Mus musculus: one gene and its partners. The protein of the gene in region 1 purifies or fractionates together with the protein of each later gene. This does not show direct contact. Links are inferred from orthologs where the notes say so. Each region holds a gene or a part of one and is shown on either strand. Other genes may lie near its edges.

Region 1 (5,867 bases):
GTGGTTAAGAGCACTGACTGCTCTTCCAAAGGTCCTGAGTTCAAATCCCAGCAACCACATGGTGGTTCACAACCATCTGTAATGAGATCTGATGCCCTCTTCTGGGGTGCCTGAAGACAGCTACAGTGTACTTACATATAATAAATAAATAAATCTTAAAAATAAGAAAAAGAAAATCTATGGGCAAACTGAGGCACATGAGTCAGAACCCTGGGCCTGATGTTCAGGGACCCTCTACTTTCATGTTAGCCCCAGGAGTCAGCGGGTCTCCCTATACCTCAGTTTCCCCAGAGGGAAGTAGCACAGCAAATATGGTTGTCTCTCCATCTATGATAGTCTAGTTCCAGGATCCCCCCAAACCACATGGATAACAAAATCTGTGGGCACCAAAGTCCCTCAGGAACAGAGATGTATATTTACAAACTACCTACACACGTTGTTCTCAACACTGCGATCATTTCTGATTCTACCTAAAACAGTGCGGGTGATGTGCAAATAGTTGACAAATTATATTGTTTAGGGAAAATGACAAGAGCAAAGTTTATAAAAATAAATAAATCTCTTTAAAAACAAATTTTGCAGGTTTTGCTGTGTTGCTCAAGCTTCCTTCAGGTTTGTTTGTTTGTTTGGGGGGGGGGGGTTGGTTCAAGACAGGGTTTCTCTGTGTAGCCCAGGCTGTCCTGGAACTCACTTTGTAGACCAGGCTGGCTTCGAAATCAGAAATCCGCCTGCCTCTGCTTCTCGAGAGCTGGGATTAAAAGCCTGCACCACCACGCCCGGCTTCCTCGAGTTTTCTAATACTGGTATTTAAACAAACAAACAACAACCAAAAAACCCTTCTTGTATGGAAATGTAGTCGGCAGAACTTTAGAAAATGCAGGAACACCTTTCTCAGTGTAGTTTGACCTATGGTGAAATTTTGCTTCTTTCCAGAATAAATGACTCCGTCAGTGTACCTCTGATAAGTCTTGTTTCCCAGTGTGTATTCGTGCGTAGTAATTGGAACTATTGGTAAATTTAAGGTCCTTTGCTTTTTAAGTGAAATTCCTCACTCCCGATATTACTAAATGACTCAGAATTTTGGGTTGCTAAAATCGGAACACTGGTCTAGGGCGTGGTAGCTCATGCCTCAAATACCATATCTCTGTGTTTAACGCCAGCCTGATATATTGAGACCCTGTCTCAAAAAAACAAACAAAACTCTAATACTGGAAAATCTGAAACGTGCATAGATAAGCAAGTAGAATGGCTATAAAACCCGTGTCGATTATGTGTTGATAATCCTGCTTGTCAAGGATCACCCTAGAAGTGGCATTCAGAAAAACTGATCGTTGGCTTCTTTGATAAACCAGCATCATTCCTACGTTTAAGAGGTGGTGGGGCTTGTTTCCAGTCTTGTTCAACGTTTTTCCAGAGTTCCTCCCCATGACTGACAGGCATCCTGAGTACATGAGAGGAGGGCATGTAGGGGCTGGACCAAAACGGACCAACAGAACTCCAAAAAGGCCTTCACATTCCTATACGTAATCGTGGGAGATCACCAAGCCAGTCGACCCAAGATGGCCTCCCGAGACAGGTAGCAGGTGCTGTCCGGGTTTGCAGCGCCCCCAGCGGCGGGGGTCAGAGGCCTGGCCTGCCAGCCCGCCGCCCGCTCCGATTTCCAAGCAGGCATATCTGCGGTTGCCTACGTACCCTTCCCAGCCTCAGGCCCTCCCAGCCTTCGGAGACTTCCTGGATGGCGCCCGGCTCCGGCCACGCCATTGGTAGATGGAGGGCGGTGGGCGGGCCCAGGCGCATGGAGGACTAGCAAGCTTGCTTGCGGCGAGGGCTGGCCGTGCTCCGCCGGAAGGCGCCTTGTTCTCCCGGACGGTGGGTTGCAACTCTTGCCCAGGGAAGGAAGCCGCAGGACTGGCTCAGGTAAGCCTGCGGCACGCGCGGCTCCACCAAGCCTCGTCGGAGCCTGGGCGGGTAGTGGGTGGGGTAACAACGTCCTCGCTTGCTCGCTCGCTCGCACCCATGCGGGTGCAGCGCCGAGCGGTGATCAGGTGCGGGATGCTCGGGGCTGAACCACTCTCCTTTGTGAGAGGCAGGCGCTGGGGACCGGACGGGCCGCGGGGCCGTGCTGGGACGGGCCGCGAGGGAGCTGCTAGGGCCAGCGTGGAGTTTTGGAGCTTGTCATGGCACTGCTGGGCGAGGCGCACATTCGAGACAGTTGCCTTTTTCTTCTTCCTCCTTTCCCAAGAAGAAAAACTCCCCTGCTCGGTTAGGTTACTCCATACGTTGGAGTCAGAAGTGCGAGGCCAGGGTTTTAGTTTGTTTTGGCTGGATTCTTTTTCCCTCTCCTCTCTTATCTTTAATGTTTTTAGTAAATGTGGGTAGGGAAGCCTGAGGTGAACGTGTTCGGATTTATTATGTTCCCAATTTCTGCGGGGCTGTTGCAAAGTAGAGGTGACGAGGAAACGAACAGCACAAGTCTTGTGTCTTCCTTGACAGGTCTGCAGAGCTCTTTGGTTTTCTGACACATTATGTAAACTCTTCACTAGAGGAGGACTGCCTCTTGGCGAATATTATTTAAAATTTGTTTTGGTTTTTTTGTGTCTTAATTTACCTGTTTCTAGTCGGCTTGCCATTGCTGCAGCTGTGCATACGCAGCAGCGCCTCTTTAAGGGGCAGTCCTGACGTCGTTAAAGGCTTCCCAGAGGAGGTATGTAGTGAACCAGTCTTCGCAGTGAGTGAGCAAAGTGAGCCAGAAGTCGGATTTTAAACGCTACGTAATTTTCTTTCAAAAGATAGACACAGTGAGACATCTCAGACACGAGTGAGGACCTTGCTTTAGCGATTTTGCTGCATTCTGCCATCACATCGATGTCCACAGAATCTCTGTTCTGAGTTTGTTAACTCAGAGACTGGCTTAGTGCCAACTGAGGTCGTTTTGGGGGGGCACATCAGATTCTAGGACATGGATTTGCAATTTGAATGTTTCCCTTATGTTGTTGCTGTTGTTTCTTTTGAAAGGATATCTGGCTTTCCATTTGTAGACCAGGTTGGCCTCTAACTCACTGAGATCTTCCTGCCTCTGCCTGGATTAAAGGCGTGCACCTCTGGCCCCTGCTGGGATATTGTCTTTTTGATTACAGAGTGTCTTCTGCCTAAAAATATCTTTTTATGGTCACCCTGCAGGTTCCACAAGTTGTAATCAATTTCTTAGGGCAGGAAGTGGGCAACTTCTTCTTCTTTTTTTTTTTTTTTTTTTTTTTGTTAACTTGTTTTTCCTTGGGTGTCATATCTTTTAGTAATGCTGGCCATTTGGGGCTGGGGGGGGGGGCTCTGAGATGAAGGATCCCACCACAACCCCTGATTATTTTACTTTGGTTTTTTGGAAACAGTCTCTCATAGTCCAGCTTGGCCTCCAACTCACTAATGACTTTGAAACCTTGGTCTTTATATCTCTACCTCCCAAGTTCTCAGATTATACAAATTCACTACTACCAAAATCTTGAAAATGGAAAACATTACTTGAACTGTCTTAGTTATTCCAGCTGTTAAGATAATAAAGGTTATGATAAGAAATACAGCAGAGTTCTACTTAAAAGCTGTTGCAAGTCAGAGTGGTATGACAAAGACTACCAGACAAGGCAAAGGATACTGGTCAGAGAGGAGAGAGACACACACACACAGAGACAGAAGAGACACCACCCGTCTGAACCCTCCCCACACCAAATAAAGGAGAAAGAGAAAAAGGCTCAACGAAGGCTTAAAGCTGTAATCTCAGAAGCGCAGGAATAAAGGATTTGGTGGAGGAATGCATAAATTAAGCTCTTGTCTTCCAAGTGTTTAATCTGTGTAGCTGGCTCTTTGATTTTTGTTTTTTCTTTCTTTTTTTTTTTTTTTTTTTTTTTGTTTTCCCCCAATTCTCAAACTGACCAGATCCTTTTAGAAGTAGATGGAGAATATAGCTGCTGAGCTGATTTTGTATTGCCAGAAGACATCCATGTAGTATTTCCTAGGACAACCTCTTCTGCAGTGCTTCCGGATGATGGGGCTTGATACCCACTGGGGACTGGGGCAGAGTTTTGTGTTAAAAATGACTTTTGTGTGAAGGAGCAGTTTCTGTTAGGTAAGAGAGGGTGGTGAGAGGATTCTTTAAGGGAAACTTTTATATATGTCACCTTTGAAAAGAGAATTTGCTTAAGCCATACTGTGACTGAGGGTTAATTTAAGGGTTTCTGTTACGGGATGAATAAGCTTTAATGCTTTTATCCGTGGAAGAACTACCGCATTCAGATGAATGTTAAATGGCTTTGTGAAATCATCCACAGCCCTGAAATATTTCTCTCTTCTGAGCTTAAATTCAGCCTAATACTTGGGGAAAAAACAAAAGACAAAATAAAAACCTTTGCCCTGAAGCCTTGGGCTCAGCAGTAGGAGTCACCATATATTCTGCTTGCTTGTCATCTTGACTCTGCTCTCAGCATTTCCCATGGCCTCTCCCAGTTCTTCTATGGCCGTTCTGGTGTTTACTATCTCTTTTCTTTGGCCTTTGACTCTCGAGTAGGTACGTGTTCATGTTTCCTATGTCACTCAGTTATGTTTTGTTCCTCCAGAGTGATTTCTGCAGCATTCCTGGTCTTCCTTTTAGGGTTTTGTCTACTTTTGTCTAGGACCTAAGTGACAGTTGTATTTTTATGTAACAGACAGCAGCTATTTTCTATTGCCTAAAAACTTTATCCAGCTATGTACTGTGCCTTATCCAACTATTTGCTGCATTCCAGATGTGGTCCTAGATAACCTCTTCCCCTTTAACTTTGCAGTTTGCTCTATGTGTAGCTATGCAATCAAATTTAGCTCTCTTTGTGTTTTCTTGGTCTACATTTTAAATTTTTCACTGCAAGAGGTGAGGGATATAACTTGGTAGAGTGATTGCTGAGCATATACATACAATGGGTTAAATTCCAATAATACCTAAAAAGCCCCCAAAACCTAAAAGTAAACTTCTTGTGTATTTGTCTTATGCAATATGTCTACCTCTGCATAGTTACAAATGTTTATAGTGTGACGGGGCAGTGGTGGTACATGCCTTTAATCCCAGTACTTGGGAGGCAAAGGCAGGCGCATTTCTGAGTTTGAGGTCAACCTGGTCTACAGAGTGAGTTCCAGGACAGCCCCGGGCTACACAGAGAAACCCTGTCTCGAAAACACCAAAAAAAAAAAAAAAAAAAAAAAAAAAAGAAAGAAAGAAAGGTAAATAAATAGTGTTTATAGTTTGAACTACAGAGCGGTCAGTACCTGAGGTTTCTTTTAAAGCTGTTCTGAGCAGTTCTGTAGGTAATTTTCTCTTAATTTTTTTTGATAATTTCATACTTGAATACTATATTTATGTAATTTCCATCCTTCTTCTCTTCCTCCTATTCTCCCCATGTTCCCTCACGTTATTGACCTCCTCCTCTTTAATTATTGATACATATATGTATATGTGTATGTGTATATGTGTGTGTATATGTGTATATGTATGTATGTGAGTATAAACCTACTGAGTCCATTCAGTGCTGTTTGTGTTACATGGACTCAGGACTGACTCTGGGACTGGCTGACCCCTGAGGCTCATCTTGATTCTCCCTCTTTCAGCAGCCATTGATTAATTGCCTATTACTCTTCATCAAGGATTAATAAGAGCTTTTTGAGACAAAAAAATAATGTAGATCAGGCTGGCATTGAACTCTGTTACATAATTCTGAGGATGACTTCGCACTCCTAATCTTCCCAAGTGTCCCTAAATACCAGCAAAACAGGTCTGTGCCACTGTACCCAGGTTTTTCCTTTTCTTACTTTTTCATTTATTTATTTATTTATTTATTTATTTATTTATT
Region 2 (5,339 bases), on another chromosome or scaffold:
TGTGAATGGGTCAGTCCAAGCTTCTCCTGACTTTTTCTGCCTTTCCTGTCTTCCTCTAGAGCCGAGTCCTCCAATAGATGAAGTTATTAACACTCCAGGAGTAGTTGATCGGTTTGTGGAGTTTCTGAAGAGAAATGAGAATTGTACATTGCAGGTAATGGCTCTAAGGTGGAATGGCCAGATGAGAGTTCCTCACATGACAGTGGACTGTCTTTGTGGCATCCCTTTAGGAAATGGGAAAGTAATATCGGGAAATTACCTTCCTTAAAAATAGCTTCAGGGCTGGGTGTGGTAGTACAGCCTGTGCTACTAGCAAAGTGAACAAACCTTCAGGTTTGAGGCCAGCCTGTTCTCCACAGTGAGTGTCTTTTTAAATGAGACACACACACGAGTTGGGGCGGGGGGGGGGGGGCACTCATCAGATTAAGGTTCCCATTGGGCCTGACAGTGTGACCCAGGACTCATGCATGATAGAATGATTGAACTGACTCCTGCAGTCTGCAGGTTGTCCTCTGACCTCCACAAGCATGGTATGGCACATAGATGAACATACAGACACAAAAAATAAAGAAAAGGGTTTTGGATAGCAATAATTATGTGAACCTAGCTGAGTTTCCACAGTATATATATACAAAGGGGGAGCGGGGAAGCTTTAAGCCACACTAATACTTTTAGCCAGCATATATTAATACTTTCAGCATGCAGTAGGCTGGGACATGAGGACTGCCACAGGGTTGATACCAGCGGCATGCAAGTCCCCTCTCTGCTAAAGGATGGTGGGGAAAGACGAGTTTGGTTTGGGCTTCTGTTGCTACTAGAGATTGGCTGTTGTGAGGCAGGTGGGTAGGTAGGGCTGCTCAGTCTGCAGACCTCTCAGTTGTGTTGTGATCTCCCTTTCAGTTTGAAGCTGCCTGGGCTCTAACAAACATTGCCTCTGGAACGTCTCAGCAGACCAAAATTGTCATTGAAGCAGGAGCTGTCCCCATTTTTATAGAGTTACTTAACTCAGACTTTGAAGATGTACAAGAACAGGTAACACTCAAAATTTGGTCAATGTTTTGGCCGTACTTACAGTATAGTAAAAAATAAATATTGATGCATATTTGGAGAACTATGGAGAATTGAACAAGGCTTGCTGCTCCTCGTATGAAAATGGGTTAGCCTGTGGTACTCACACAGAAATGGAAAGCAGTGATGGAGTCTCTCTTTACCTCGTGTGGGTCTGGGCCAAGGTAGAGAGTCAAGACTTTTTCTTTCTCCCTTCCTATGAAGGGATGATGAAGTCTGTAGTTTGGTGTCTCTGGCTTCAGTTCGTGTGGCCGCCTGCCTTTCCCACTGAACAGGGCTTCCGGGGAGAAGCTCTAAAAGAGCAAGTGCTCAGCAAGAGTCCTCCTAGACACAGTCTAGGTGGCTCACTCCAGTGTGCTGTCCTCACCCTGTCGGACCGCTTTGTAAGTAGTCACGGAAGCTGCCAGGCTCTGGGTGACAGTTGTCTGCTCCCTTTTCAGGCAGTGTGGGCGCTTGGAAACATCGCTGGAGATAGCTCGCTTTGCAGGGATTATGTCTTGAATTGCTCCATCCTTAACCCCTTGTTAACGTGAGTAATCCCGGGGCTCTGCAGCGTGGCCACGTGGCAGTGTATGTGGGGGATAATAAAACCTTGGATGGTGGCACAAACCTTTCGTCCCAGCATTCGGGAGGCAGAGGCAGGCAGATTTCTGAGTTCGATGCCACCTTGATCTACAGAATGAGTTCCAGGAGGGCCATAGTTAGACAGAGAAAAGCCTGTCACAAGACAAAAACAAGTAATGAGGCCCAGCATAGTGGCACGGGCCTTTTGTTTTGTTTTGTTTTTCCGAGGCGTGCGCCACCACACCCGGTGGCCCGGACCTTTTAATCCTAGCCCTTGGGAGGCCAGCCCAGTCTACGTTAGCAAGTTTCAGACTATCCAGGACTGAACAACCTCCCATTTTCACGAACAAGATAGTCCTAGGGCCTGGGTTATACTCTAGGGTCTGTGGTCACAGCCCTGTGCTGGAGGTCAGTGCTAAGATTATGGCTTCCTTGTTTACAGACTCCTTACTAAGTCCACACGACTGACAATGACACGGAATGCAGTCTGGGCCCTGTCAAACCTCTGCCGAGGCAAGAACCCTCCTCCAGAGTTTGCAAAGGTGAGAACTACCTACTAGCTACAAGTGATGCCAGATTCCGTCATAGGATCTCTTTGTAAGTTTTGGGAAGACCCATTAGAGTCTCAAATCATGTGAAAGACAAGGCAATCATCAGTGTAGAGGGCGATTTTGTGTGCCAGGGTAGGAGAGTGAAAAGGTGGTCCTGCAGGTTTGATGGCATTCCCAGGGTGTAGAATTCCGTGTTGGGAAGGGGTAAGCCATGATAGGCTTGGTGAGAGAGCTGATGTAGCCCTATGATCAGTCCTCCTCTGCTTCCAACAGGTCTCTCCTTGTTTGCCTGTATTGTCCCGACTGCTCTTCAGCAGTGACTCAGACTTGCTGGCAGATGCTTGCTGGGCCCTCTCCTACCTGTCTGATGGCCCCAATGAGAAGATCCAGGCAGTCATAGACTCTGGAGTCTGCCGGAGATTGGTAGAGCTTCTGATGTGAGTGGTTTGAGTTCAAGAGGGTGAAAGTTTCCTTAGCTTTACCAAGTTCAAAGACCTCTAGCCAAAGGCATGGTGGTGTGGCTGTAATCCCAGCCTTTGGGAGACAGGAGAATGACAAATTCAAGGACAGGGTGGGCTGCAGTATAAAGACTGTCTCACAAAACAAAGCAAAAAAACAAAAAATCTACAAACAGCAGATAGCTGACCTACAAAGGTCTGGAGCTGCAAGGAATATGGGCAGAAGAACCTGTGTTGGTTTTCGGCAGTCGGCAGGACCGACTGATGCGCTGTCTCTCCACTGATAGCTGCTCTTCCTCTGTAGGCACAACGATTACAAAGTGGCGTCTCCTGCCTTGAGAGCTGTGGGTAATATTGTCACTGGGGATGACATCCAGACCCAGGTGAGGAAGAAGAGGGGTGGGACCTTAGCTTAGGTCAGCTGTGGGAGAACAGAGAGAGCGCTGTAGACCAAAGTCTTCCTGGGTAACTGCATGGTCTAGCAGAGAAAGTGTGACTTTAAATTAAGTGGTTGTAGCACTGGCAGTCTCTGTATTCTCATAGTTCCTTCTTCTCTTAAGCAAATTAGAAACAAATCATCCCGCTGCTGCTTGAGCAAAGAAAGCGAAATGGAATGACTGGGTTTGTTTGCTGCAACAGTGTTGTGAGGAATGAAGTCTGGTCCATGATCCTTTTGAGACACTAAAAGCTGTGGGGTCACCAATGCTTCTAGGCCTTCACCTCATGCTAAACTCACGTTAGCCTTTTCAGCCGTGTGGCACACACTGTAATCCCAGCACTTGTGAGTTAGAGGCAGAAGGCTCAGCTAGTTCAGGGCCATAGTCGACTATATGAAACCCTATCTCAAAAACCCAAAAACGGGAAAAATATTTCCTACAAACCAGTAGCAGAGTGGGTGTGCATCTGCTGGGGAGGATGAGGTGGGGTGGAAGGAGCCCAGGGCTTGGAGACCAGCCTGCACAGTTCAACAAGGTCCTGTCTCAGAAGACCCTGCACACACGTGAACATGGAGATGGAAGATACAGTAGGAATGATCCCACAGGGAGGGCACCAGAAATTTCTCTTGTTCAAAAGTTAGAACTCTGCTGATTTCCTGTCTGACTTTGTCAGCCAATAGTCTCCATGAGTTAGTGTGTACTCCAGTCCCTCTTGTGGTTGATATGTAGTTTTATCCCACTGGACTACTGTAGACTTGTCCTTGTGAGTGGAGTTAAACCATATTAGTCCCTCGTAGCTGCCTTAGTTAGCATAATGTCTTCAAGCTTCATCTGTGACGTTCGTGTGTCAGAATTCTTATACTAAGATTGAAGGATATTCCAGTGTCTGTGTATACTATTTTTTAAATTCCTTCATCCATCTTGCAAACATTTATGTTTCTGCTGCTTAGCTATTGTGAATAATGCTGTTTTGGACCCTGGTTATGCAGCTACAAAGTCTCTGCTTTCATTTCTTTGGTCATGTATATGCAAAATAGATTAGATAACATGGTAATTTATGCTAATTTATAAGTTTAGTTTCTGTGTTATTTTATGTCTCTATCAGCTCTGTTCCATGTTCCAGTTTCTCCCTCTTTCTAAGACATCTCATTTTCTGTTTTTATATCAGCCATTCTAGTGAGTGTAAAGTGCTGTCTCCTGGTTTGATTTTTGTTTCTCTATTTATTTGATAAGTGATCTTGAGCCTATTATGTGTGCTAATACATAATCGCTGTATCTCTTTTAAGTTCTTTTTTTAAAAAGTTATTTACATACTCTGGATAATAACCTTTTTTTTAAAGGGCTATTTATTTATTTATTTATTTATTTATTTATTTCATGTAGAAACACCAAAAGAGGGCATTGGATCCCATTATAGGTGGCTGTGAGCCACCATGTAGTTGCTGGGAATTGAACTCAGGACCTTAGGAAGAGCAATCTGCCCTTAACTGCTGAGCCATCTCTCTAGCCCTGGATTTTAACTCTTAATAATACATGTTTTGCAAGTATTTTCTAATATTCTGCAGGTTTGCTTTGCACTGTTTATGGTGTCTTGATATGCATATCTAATTTTAAATGGGTTAACACTAAATATCTAATTTTGATAAATTTCTTATGCTTTTGTGTTTTAGGTCATTCTTAATTGTTCAGCCCTCCCTTGCCTCCTCCACCTACTGAGCAGCTCTAAGGAATCAATCCGGAAGGAAGCTTGCTGGACCATTTCAAACATCACTGCTGGCAACAGGGCTCAAATACAGGTAGATTTGCTTCCAAAAAAGGCATCTTTTCCCATTAGAAACTAGGGGCAAGGCAAAGGGCAAGCAAGCTGCGTAGCTCAGTAGTAGGATGTTTGCCTATTGAATTGCCTGGATTCAGTGCCCAACACCAGCAAAGCAGTTTGTCATAGTGACAGTGAGTGCTCCACACCTTCTCTAGTGAGAGCAAAGAACCTGCAGGCAGTTAACAGAAAAAAGCCTGAGCTGTGATTCTTTTGGTTTTTCAAGACAGGGTTTCTCTGTGTAGCCCTGGCTGTCCTGAAACTCACTTTGTAGACCAGGCTGGTCTTGAACTCAGAAATCCGCCCATCTCTGCCTCCCCAGTGCTGGGATTAAAGGCGTGCGCCACCACGCCTGGCTTTTTTTTTTTTTTTTTAAGATTTATTTATTTATTATATGTAAGTATACTGTAGCTGTCTTCAGACACTCCAGAAGAGGGCGTCAGAT
Region 3 (5,339 bases), on another chromosome or scaffold:
AAGAAATTAGGCTCCATGTGGTGGCACACACATGCTTTTAATTCTAGCACTCTGGGGATAGAGATAAGTAGATCTGAGTTCTAGGCTAGCCTGGTCTACATAAAATGAGCTCCAGGATACCCAGGGCTACATTGAGATCCTGTGTCAAAAATTAAAAACAAACAAAAACCCCAGACATCTGTAGCTGCATATATCTTTCTTTGTTAAAAGTATATTTGAGTTCAAGGGATTGCAACTAAGAATAGCATTTAGTTTGCCTTAAACCATTCTTAAAATAGTTCACTGCTACTCCTTCTAATGACAAAAGCTTAAGTGTTCTGACTTGAGAATCCAATGTCATGGGACCAAGTTTGAGAACTATTATTGTACATATAAAGCAGGATTTAGTAGTCCAAATTAAATGTAAAGCTAACCTTCAGATGAGAGCCTAAGTATCCTTACAATGCCATGTGTGCTAGTGTGCTTCCTATGACTGTGAAAACAGTGTAGTGGCAGGAAAAGGGTTATTTGGCTTATACCTCAGGTCAGACAACTCATTAATGAGGGAAATCAGAAACCCTGAGGTAGTGGGCAAGGTGTAGCTACTTACTGACTGGCTTTTTGCCTGGACTAGCTTTCCTATACAACCTAGACCCACCTGCCTGGGGATGGTGCTGCCCACATTAAGCTGGACTCTCCCATATCATGAAGGTAATTTCAGACATGAGCAAAGGTTAATCTGACCAAAATAATTCTGTATGTTGATTGTATCTCGATGTCTAGGTTGTATCAAGTTGACAACTAAACAGCACAGTACTATAAAGTATATATATTTGTATATAATAATAATTGTAAAATACTGCATTTTTTTAAGGGTACTGTAAATTGGTCTGTTGAGGACATTGTTAAAGGCATAAACAGTAACAATTTGGAAAGCCAGCTCCAAGCTACTCAAGCTGCTCGGTGAGTCTGTAGCTCTGGCATGGATAACCTAAGAAATCAGCCCTTTGAGAGGGAGGGAGGGAGGGAGGGAGGGAGGGAGGGAGGGAGGTGCAGTGGAGAATCATGAATTTTTACTTTATCTTAAAATTTTGTGTGTGTGTGTGTGTGTGTGTGTGTGTGTGAGAGAGAGAGAGAGAGAGAGAGAATGAATCAGGAAAACTTGTCTCCACCATGTGCATTCTGGGGATTGAACTCAGTTGTCAGCTTGGTGGCAAGCTCTTTACCTACTACTAAACTATCTCACCATCTCCTTTCCCCTTTAAACAACATCCCATGTTGCCTAGGCTGACTTTAAGTGCACAGTCTCCTTTTGTCTCAGCCTTGTCCGTGTTGAGATTGTACGTGTATTAACCACTGTGATGGCCAGATTTTTATCCACCTTTTCAGTGCACTTTGAAAAATCAACTTCAACTTTTGATTTTTTTCTTTTCCCTTAGGAAATTGCTTTCTAGAGAGAAACAGCCTCCTATAGACAACATCATCCGGGCTGGTTTGATCCCAAAATTTGTGTCCTTCTTGGGCAAAACTGATTGTAGTCCTATTCAGTTTGAGTCTGCTTGGGCACTCACCAACATTGCTTCTGGAACATCTGAACAGACCAAAGCTGTGGTGGATGGAGGTGCTATCCCAGCGTTTATTTCTCTCTTGGCATCTCCTCATGCTCACATCAGCGAGCAAGCTGTTTGGGCTCTTGGAAACATTGCAGGTACTTGCACTTATAATTCTTTGGACTGAATGTGTCCAATGTGATTAAAGAAGGTCCTAGTGGCTTTTGTGTCAAGCTTTGTGCTTGCTTTAGGCCCTTATTAGGAATGGAAGAGGCATTTAAGAATGCTACTGAAGTTAGGACAGGTCTGACAGACAGTGCATTCAGTAGCTAACTAAACATGGATGTTTGGGACAGTAGGTTCATTAATCTTGCTTTTTTATTTTTTGAGACAGGGTCTCTCTTACGTAGCGCTGGCTATAGACCAGGATAACGTGGATTTCACAGAAATAGATTTTGGGGTTAAGGTGTTCACTGCCGTGCTCAGCCAATCTCGCTTTCTGTCCCAGGTGATGGTTCAGCTTTCCGAGACTTAGTTATCAAACACGGTGCGATTGACCCACTGTTGGCACTTCTTGCAGTTCCCGATCTGTCTACCTTGGCAGTAAGTTGATAATATTTGACTCTTATTTTCCCCATCTATTCAAAGACAAGCCTTCTCAATAATTTTTCTCTCCCCCTCAGTGTGGTTACTTACGTAATCTTACCTGGACACTTTCAAACCTTTGTCGAAACAAGAACCCTGCACCTCCCTTAGACGCCGTTGAGCAGATTCTTCCTACGTTAGTTCGACTCCTGCACCACAATGATCCAGAAGTATTGGCAGATTCCTGCTGGGCCATTTCCTACCTGACTGATGGTCCAAATGAGCGCATTGAGATGGTTGTGAAGAAAGGAGTTGTTCCCCAACTTGTGAAGCTTCTAGGAGCTACTGAACTGCCCATTGTGGTAGGTGTTAGTTGGCCTTTTTATTAAATAGCTTTGTGAGTATGGAGTAAGGGAGCGCAGGAGTACGGGAGCGTCCTCAGTTGATAGCTGTTGAGATACTGCCTGTTATTTGCACAACTTTTTAGAATGGAGAATTTTTTTAGCAGCACTGGAAAGTAATTAATCAGTAATTAATCAACCTATTTTTCCTTTTTAGACTCCCGCACTAAGAGCCATAGGGAATATTGTCACTGGAACAGATGAGCAGACTCAGAAAGTGATCGATGCAGGAGCACTTGCAGTCTTTCCCAGCCTGCTAACAAACCCCAAAACTAATATTCAGAAGGAGGCCACATGGACAATGTCGAACATTACAGCTGGACGCCAGGACCAGATACAGCAAGTTGTGAATCACGGCCTAGTCCCCTTTCTTGTTGGTGTCCTCTCTAAGGTAATGAGAGTTTAGGTTTGACCAGATGATAGCATTTATGACAACCTATGCGTGATAAGTCTTAGAGGAACCTGGGCATGGTGGCACATGCTTTTAACTCCTGAGCTTGTGAGGGAGAGGCAGGAGGCCTGAGTTGGATACAGTACCTCCTAATATTGGGTAGAAGAGTAGGTAATTGGCTTGGTGTTTTTAGACCACTAACTTTTGGAGTCTGGCTGTTAGGACTTTTGGACTAAAACCATTTTCTTCTTCTTTCTTGTTTATCAGGCGGACTTTAAGACACAGAAGGAGGCCGCGTGGGCTATAACCAACTATACCAGCGGTGGGACTGTTGAGCAGATTGTGTATCTCGTTCACTGTGGGATAATAGAACCTTTGATGAACCTCCTGAGTGCAAAAGATACCAAGATTATTCAGGTTATTCTTGACGCCATTTCAAATATCTTTCAGGTAAGTCCTAACAAGGCTCTGTTTGCTTGAACTTAAGGCTGATAGTTACTATTTAGGACTGGGAAGAGGACAGCTAAGTTTGGTTTACTAATAGTCAGAATCAGGTTTGTTTGTGTACAGTCTCAGTTTTTAAATTTACTAATGAAGTCTTAGTCTGTCCCTGCACTTGGGAAGCAGAGGCAGGCTGAGCTCTTGAGATGGAGACCAGCTTGAGATACACAGAGAAACTCTGTATTGGTACCTCCCCCCATTCTTTTTATATCTATTCATTTTGTATGTATGGGTGGGAACTGGGGTTGTATATTGTTGTGAGTGACCATATGTATGCTGGGAATCAAACCCAGATCCTCTGTAAGAACAAGTGATCTTATCCAGTGAGCCACTATCCTGGCACCCTTTCTTTAAGAATATTTTTTTGTGCAGGAGGGGCTTAAAAAAAAGAATTTTTTTTTTTTTTTTGTGGCAGTGGTGGAGCAAGCCTTTAATTCCAGTACTCAGGAGGAAGATGCAGGCAGATCTCTTGAGTTTGAGATCAGCCTAGTCTACATGGCAAATTCCAGGACAGCCAGGGCTACATAAACTGTCTCAGAAATCAAAGCCAGACAAAAATAGATCAAAATAAATACACAAAACAACTAAAACACCTCTCATAGAAACTGGGATTTGTATCTCATAGAGGGTAGTAAACTTAAGTTGAGTTTTTTTTTTTTTTAAGGCTGCAGAGAAACTAGGTGAGACAGAAAAGCTCAGTATAATGATTGAAGAGTGTGGAGGCTTGGATAAAATTGAAGCACTACAGAGGCATGAAAACGAGTCTGTATACAAGGCCTCATTGAACTTAATTGAGAAGTACTTCTCAGTGGAGGTAAGTAATGGCCATGTCCACAACATGGAAAGGATATGAGAATTCACAAGTACCTTCAAGCCAATGGGCTTGATCCTTTGTATATGATTCTTACATTACCCTATCACAAAGAACAAGCATCAGTGCAGCCAAGATTTGCTGTGTGTGGGTGGGTGGGTGCGCGCACGTGTGGCTAGTACTGGCTTGATGGTATATGATGGTTATATGAACAGCCTGGAATTGTCCCAGCATTCATGAGTTAGCTAAGCTTTGGCAACAAGTTTTCTGCTAGGTGCAGGCTTTGAGACAGGGTTCTGCTAGAGATGTACCATGTTTATGGTTATATCTTACCTTACTATTTCCAGGAAGAGGAAGATCAAAATGTGGTGCCAGAAACTACCTCTGAAGGCTTCGCCTTCCAAGTTCAGGATGGAGCTCCTGGGACCTTTAACTTCTAATGTCCAGCTAAGGCACAAAGTTGTTAGCTATGTGCTGTGCTATTCTGTGTTCTCATAGATTTGTCTTACTGTTTCTCTACTAAGAACTCTTTTTAAATGTGGTTTGTTATTGTAGCACTTTTTACAAAAGAAACTATACTTGAACAGTTATAAACTGTACATACTCTATGAAGCTGTCCTCTGAATTTATTTCTATGTGGAATTTCGTACCCTGTCATGTCCTGTAAATAAAGATTAAAGTTCCATTCTTTACTCTGACTTGCTGTTTTCTTAATTGAGATTACTGTTGGAAGTGAAAGGTGAATAGGAGATGTTGATTGAAAGTGAGGCAGTGGTGGCAGAGGCAGGCAGATTTCTGAGTTCAAGGCTAGCCTGGTGTACAGAGTGAGTTCCAGGACAGCCAGGGCTACACAGAGAATCCCTGTCTTGAAAAAGTGTGAGGCCTGGATGTGTTACCGGTATGACTCCAGTGAGGTAATAGGATATAGTTGACATCTAAATGCATTGCTTCCTATGAGAATAAATTCTTAGCAGAGACTTTCCTCAGAAGTCCAAAACGCATGTTTTTGTTTCATGACCCTGTGAGCCAAATTCTCTATGGCAGAATGGCTTTTCATATCCACTGGGTGTAATGGAAGTACTACACAGCCACTGATTCCTCTTCATGGTGTCAGTGTCTAA
Region 4 (5,339 bases), on another chromosome or scaffold:
TATGATGACTTTTTAAGACCACACACTCCGTAAGAGTATTATCTATGGTGTAAGAATAAATAAGCCTCCTAAAAAGGTAACAGGGCTTGTGGGATGGCTCAGCAGGTAAGAGCATTGCTGAGTGAGCCGCAAGACCTGGATATGATCCTCAGAACCCATGGTGGAAGGAGAGAGCCAGAGCTGGGTCTATGCATTCACACATACATAAATAATTAATAAAATAAAGATTGAAAAATGGTAACAGGAAAAACAAACATCATTTGTCAAGTTAGTTCAAAGTTATCCTTTTAATCCCAGCACTCAGGAAGCAGAGGCAGTTAGAACTGTGAAGTGTGGACTTTGTCTACTTAGCAAGTTCCAGGTCAGAACTGGTTTTGGTCTCAAAAGGCAAAACAAAAAATAAAACAAGTTATAATGTCAATTAGTAATATTTTTAAAAATCATGTAACTTCCTTGTTCTTTTAACTTTTTCTCAATTTCAGACTGTGATAGATGCTAACATGTTCCCAGCTCTTATTAGTATATTGCAAACAGCAGAGTTCCGGACAAGGAAGGAAGCTGCTTGGGCCATCACAAATGCAACTTCTGGAGGATCAGCTGAGCAGATCAAGTAAGTACTGTCCAGGTAGCATCTTGCAAATTAAAGGAAAACAAGTTTAACCTCTCCCCATCCCCAATATATAATCTAAAACCTTGACCACTAAGAAAGGAATTTCTTGACTGTGAATGTGAAAGGAATTTCTTGAATGTGAAGTCTGGCACTTTGGGAAATTATCATTGTTATAATTAAACTCAGAAGTGCATTTAGTCTTTAAGATATATTTTTACAATTCTAATTATTCATGTATGAGTGATGTGTGTGGGTATGTGTGTGCATGTAGTGGAAGTGTCTGGAAGACAAGACAAATTGAAGTTACAGGTGATTGTGAGCTACCTGGTATGGGTGATGGCGACTAAACTCAGGTCTTTCAGTAGCAAGTGCACTTAACTTCTGAGCCATCTATGCAGCCCTTACATTTAGCTTTTAATACTTGTTTTCTCTCTCTTTTCAGTTTTTTAAAAAGGTCTCTCTCTCTCCTATGTGTGTAAAAAAGACAACCCCCCCCCCCCCTGTGTGTGTGTGTGTGTGAACCTCCCTCATAATTGTAACATCCATGGGGACCAGAAGAGGGCCTTATACTTCCTAGTGCTGGAGTTACACGCACTTGTGAGCTACCTTATATATAATATAGGGTGTTGGAATTGAACGTGGGCCTTGTGGAAGAGTAGCAAACAGTCTTAGATGTGGAGCTGTCTCATCATACAGCCTTCCTCATCTATTTTCAGTTTTCATTTTGATTTATTTGTTTTGTTTTTTTCAAGACATAATTTTTGTGTGCGTCCCCGGCTTTCCTGAAACTTGCTCTGTAGACCAGGCTGTTCTGGAACTCAAGCCTGGGTCTCAATGTGTAATCACCATGCCCTACCAGATTTACTGTTGCTAATGCTACACCACTGCTATTAGGGTTTTACTTTTAGATTCTAGGTGTTCATTACTGGAGTATAAACAGTTAAATTGTGTATGAGCTTTATATCATGCCTTATATCATAGACTTTCTATACTTATTATCCAGGTGTGTTTTCATCAGTGCGTGTGCGTGTGTTTCCTAACCTGCATAGACAGTAATGGAAGACTTTACTTCCATTCTTCTATACTCCTTTTAAAATCCTCTTTAAAAATAATGCTTAGGTTTGCATATGCAATGTTTCAAATATGATGTTAGTTAGGTAAACACTTCTTGTTAAGGCTCTTTATCATATTTCCTCTATCCTTAGTTTATTGTGTTTTCTTTTTTAAATTAATAATCAATAATAGGTTTTGATTATTTTCTTAGTCTCCATATCATCAGAAGTGATTTTCATCTTTATCATGTAAGAGTATAATGTTATTTTATGTGTTCTCTCTTCCTTCTAGAGATCTATATATGTATTTTAAGTTTAAAGTAGTGTGGAAAGGATATAAAGATGAGTACTGAGTTTCACAGTGACATTTCGTTTATACAGGTTTCACCTACCTCAGTTATCTCTGTTTTCTCCATATACAACTTGAGAGATTAGGATGATGGGGATTTCGTGCATATCTGCCCTGGGTGTGATGTAGTAGTCTGTCTTATATTCATTATACTGTCTGCATCACGTTACTCCCTGCTGGAGTTGAAAGACATAGAGCTGTAGAGTCCTGCATCTGTTTTCTTCTTTAAGTTCACACAGCCTGTATTTGAGAAGTGTGCTTACGTGTAGAAATAATGACTACAATAACTCTTCAAACTTCTATGTACTGGTTGGGACTGAGGAAGATGGCCCCAACCAGTACATAGAAGTGGTATTTTTGGTATATAGGTAGAGGTTTCCCTCAATAACAGACTATAGTTGAGATATGTGAGCTAACTCTTTCCTCTCTAAAGGTCCATAGTTGACAGCTTATTTTTATTTCTACAGCAAGCTTGAAGATGCCTCACAGTTCAATAAAAATCACAAAATTAAATATTTTATATGACTAAATTGTCCTTTTTTTGTTGATTCAGGTACCTAGTAGAACTGGGTTGTATCAAGCCACTCTGTGATCTCCTCACTGTCATGGATGCAAAAATTGTACAGGTTGCCCTAAATGGCTTAGAAAACATCCTGAGGCTTGGAGAACAAGAAGCCAAACGAAACGGCTCAGGCATTAATCCTTACTGTGCTTTGATTGAGGAAGCATATGGTAAGAGTTTGGCTGAGAATGAGGGAAATGAACAATAATAATCATATGAAAACATGAACATGGGAGTAGTGGGTGACACAGAGACAACAGTAGTGAGACTTTGCTTCCTTGGGCCAGAAACTGCTTGCAATGTGCATTTAATTTAAGATGTTAATTTATAATATTGGGCTTTGGATGTAATGGCAATAATCATTTCTGATGCGTATGTATAGAGTCTTTACATCAATAAAGTAGAATTAAGAATGTAGTTACTGAGGTTTTCAAGAAAGATTCTTTATCCTTCATTTTAGGTCTGGATAAAATTGAGTTCTTACAGAGTCATGAAAACCAGGAGATCTATCAAAAGGCTTTTGATCTTATTGAGCATTACTTTGGGACCGAAGATGAGGACAGCAGCATCGCACCCCAGGTTGATCTTAGCCAGCAGCAGTACATCTTCCAGCAGTGTGAAGCTCCTATGGAAGGTTTCCAGCTTTGAAGCAATCCTCTCCTTCTTGTTCCTGTGTCAGACCAGGCTATCCAGTCAAGTCCTCTTGTGGAGCCCACAGTCCTCATGGAGCTAATCTCTCAAATGTTTTCCATAATACTGTTTGCGCTCATTTGCTTGCCTTGCGCACCTGCTCTCTTACACACATCTGGAAAACCTCTGGCTCTCTGTGGTGGAATACCCTTTTATTACAAGGGTAACCAGAACGGCCCACTCTCTTATGGAAAAATCCCTAAGCTTTGGAGATCCGCACTTACATTAGAGTCATGGGAATATATACACATACTAATGTGGCTCCCTTTTTTGTGGGGGAAAAAAGAGGACTCTTCCTCATTCCGTAAAGTGGGGAAAATGACATTGAAAGATAAAACTAAAACCTTTATCTTGAATTTTACACAACTACAAGGGAGATATTTAGACTTGTGTATACATCAGAGTACTCTTCTCGAGTTCTTCCACAGTGAATCAACCCTTGGAGTACCTGGTGGCTTTTTCTAGCCACATTTGCATTAATCCTTATTGAGATGGGATGGTTTTCTTTCCTCTAATGGAGTCATTTTCTTCAGATATTAAAGTTAAACCATCCAATCCCTCACCTTCAGCCTTCAGTGAATGTGCTTCTAGTTGTCAGGAATGCTGAAGAATTAACACTTTGACTTTTAAATGTGATCCTGGCTTGGCAGATTTCCTTAAAGCAGGAAGGAGAGAAGCATATATTAGTTTGTATGGCTTTTGCTTCTCTTTGTTTTTGTTTCTTAGGATTTGGAAGTGGTTCAGTTTTAACGCTGGTATGAAGGCTAAAAGTCCTTAAGTAAAACCATGTTCAAAAATCCAATTAAAGACTAAGAACATAAAACCCATCACTTTGTTTAAACCGGTGTGACGAGAGGCTGTGTTTCTGCATTACAAATGATCCTCAGGCTTTGTGGTCCTGACCAAGGGCCTGGTAAATTGGAGTCACCCTAGGTGCTTTTCCTCTTCGTGACTGGCAGATAACACATATTTAAATGTTACTTAGGGATTTTTTTTTCCTTTGTTGAGTGCAGCTCGATTCTAATGTAATCATGCTGCATACATGCTTTTGCTGTGCAGCATCCTTATCTTTAAAAGCATACTAGTCTCCTCAGTGTGACCTCTAGACTAAAAGGGCAGTGATCCAATAACCTCAGTATCCCCTGTTTTTATTTCATCTCCTACTAGTACCCTACCTCCCCTAGGAAGAACATGCCCACCTCCTGCTTATTTAATGATGACTGTAATGTACCTGCAAATGGCGCTTCCAGTACTGTGTTCACTGACATTTGTGCTTGGACTAGAAGGGGAAAGAAACAAGAAAAAAAGGATAATTGCCAAGAGAACTGCAAATGAGTTCAATGTGACTTCTCGGTGCTAGTTGGCCATCTTGGCTCAATGTTGGGACACACTATCAGAGAGAGGAGTCTTTTTTTTTTTCCCCAATGATATTCTGTTCAAAATGAATTCTGAAGGAAAAGTTGCTCATGTCTGTTTCAGAGCATACCCTTTTAAATCTTTTTAGACTACTCTTCTAGAATTCATCATAACCCCAAAATAGATAAAAGCTATCTAGAAGTTGCCCTGACAAGCTATTGCACATCTCTGGTAAATCCTGCTGAATGTAAGGAATATTCAGAGCTCTCATACCTCATCATGATGTTATTTAAGCAGCCAATTTACACGACCTGATTTACTTTGAAAAATTTGTTTCATTCAAACTAGAAAGTTCCAGAGACAAAGGACATTTCTCAGCCAAGAGTGTGATGCATTCTTGCCCTAGTCTTTACTTGTGTCTGCTCTGGGATGGATGCTGTCTGATGTCTGTTACCAATGGAGCAGATACCACAAAACTAGTCAACTCCCGTCTGTCCTGTTGTTTTCTAGTGCTGCTTTGTGCTGAGAGAACATGTTAGTTTACTGAACTTGACCTGTACAAGACTGATTCTTTGTAATTTTAGGGTTAAATTAGGTGGTTAATTTAAAGATGAACTTTCAATGTTGCCTTTACATCACATTACAGTATCACTTCTTTGAGAAGGTAATAGAAGCACTGATTCATAGTAAAAATCTTGTTTTTAGCTTTGACTTTTCTTG

What was found.
Region 2: the proteins of Chd8 (region 1) and Kpna6 purify together in Homo sapiens (affinity purification with mass spectrometry; 4 studies listed by BioGRID and IntAct, with this or other methods). This does not show direct contact. The link is inferred for Mus musculus from reciprocal best matches to the Homo sapiens genes CHD8 and KPNA6.
Region 3: the proteins of Chd8 (region 1) and Kpna2 purify together in Homo sapiens (affinity purification with mass spectrometry; 4 studies listed by BioGRID and IntAct, with this or other methods). This does not show direct contact. The link is inferred for Mus musculus from reciprocal best matches to the Homo sapiens genes CHD8 and KPNA2.
Region 4: the proteins of Chd8 (region 1) and Kpna1 purify together in Homo sapiens (affinity purification with mass spectrometry; 6 studies listed by BioGRID and IntAct, with this or other methods). This does not show direct contact. The link is inferred for Mus musculus from reciprocal best matches to the Homo sapiens genes CHD8 and KPNA1.

The regions. Positions count from the first base shown.
Region 1 is NC_000080.6:52,253,728-52,259,594, reverse strand, and holds the start of Chd8 (chromodomain-helicase-DNA-binding protein 8), read left to right. Parts: upstream 1-1,834; 5' UTR 1,835-1,917; intron 1,918-5,867. UniProt on the Homo sapiens protein: ATP-dependent chromatin-remodeling factor, it slides nucleosomes along DNA; nucleosome sliding requires ATP. Acts as a transcription repressor by remodeling chromatin structure and recruiting histone H1 to target genes.
Region 2 is NC_000070.6:129,651,123-129,656,461, reverse strand, and holds part of Kpna6 (importin subunit alpha-7), read left to right. Parts: intron 1-59; coding exon 60-154; intron 155-900; coding exon 901-1,032; intron 1,033-1,508; coding exon 1,509-1,597; intron 1,598-2,074; coding exon 2,075-2,174; intron 2,175-2,456; coding exon 2,457-2,620; intron 2,621-2,945; coding exon 2,946-3,024; intron 3,025-4,748; coding exon 4,749-4,874; intron 4,875-5,339. UniProt on the Homo sapiens protein: Functions in nuclear protein import as an adapter protein for nuclear receptor KPNB1. Binds specifically and directly to substrates containing either a simple or bipartite NLS motif.
Region 3 is NC_000077.6:106,988,206-106,993,544, reverse strand, and holds the end of Kpna2 (importin subunit alpha-1), read left to right. Parts: intron 1-853; coding exon 854-942; intron 943-1,418; coding exon 1,419-1,687; intron 1,688-2,037; coding exon 2,038-2,132; intron 2,133-2,212; coding exon 2,213-2,476; intron 2,477-2,672; coding exon 2,673-2,906; intron 2,907-3,173; coding exon 3,174-3,356; intron 3,357-4,071; coding exon 4,072-4,221; intron 4,222-4,565; coding exon 4,566-4,658; 3' UTR 4,659-4,916; downstream 4,917-5,339.
Region 4 is NC_000082.6:36,030,688-36,036,026, forward strand, and holds part of Kpna1 (importin subunit alpha-5), read left to right. Parts: intron 1-482; coding exon 483-610; intron 611-2,564; coding exon 2,565-2,743; intron 2,744-3,033; coding exon 3,034-3,221; 3' UTR 3,222-5,339. UniProt on the Homo sapiens protein: Functions in nuclear protein import as an adapter protein for nuclear receptor KPNB1. Binds specifically and directly to substrates containing either a simple or bipartite NLS motif.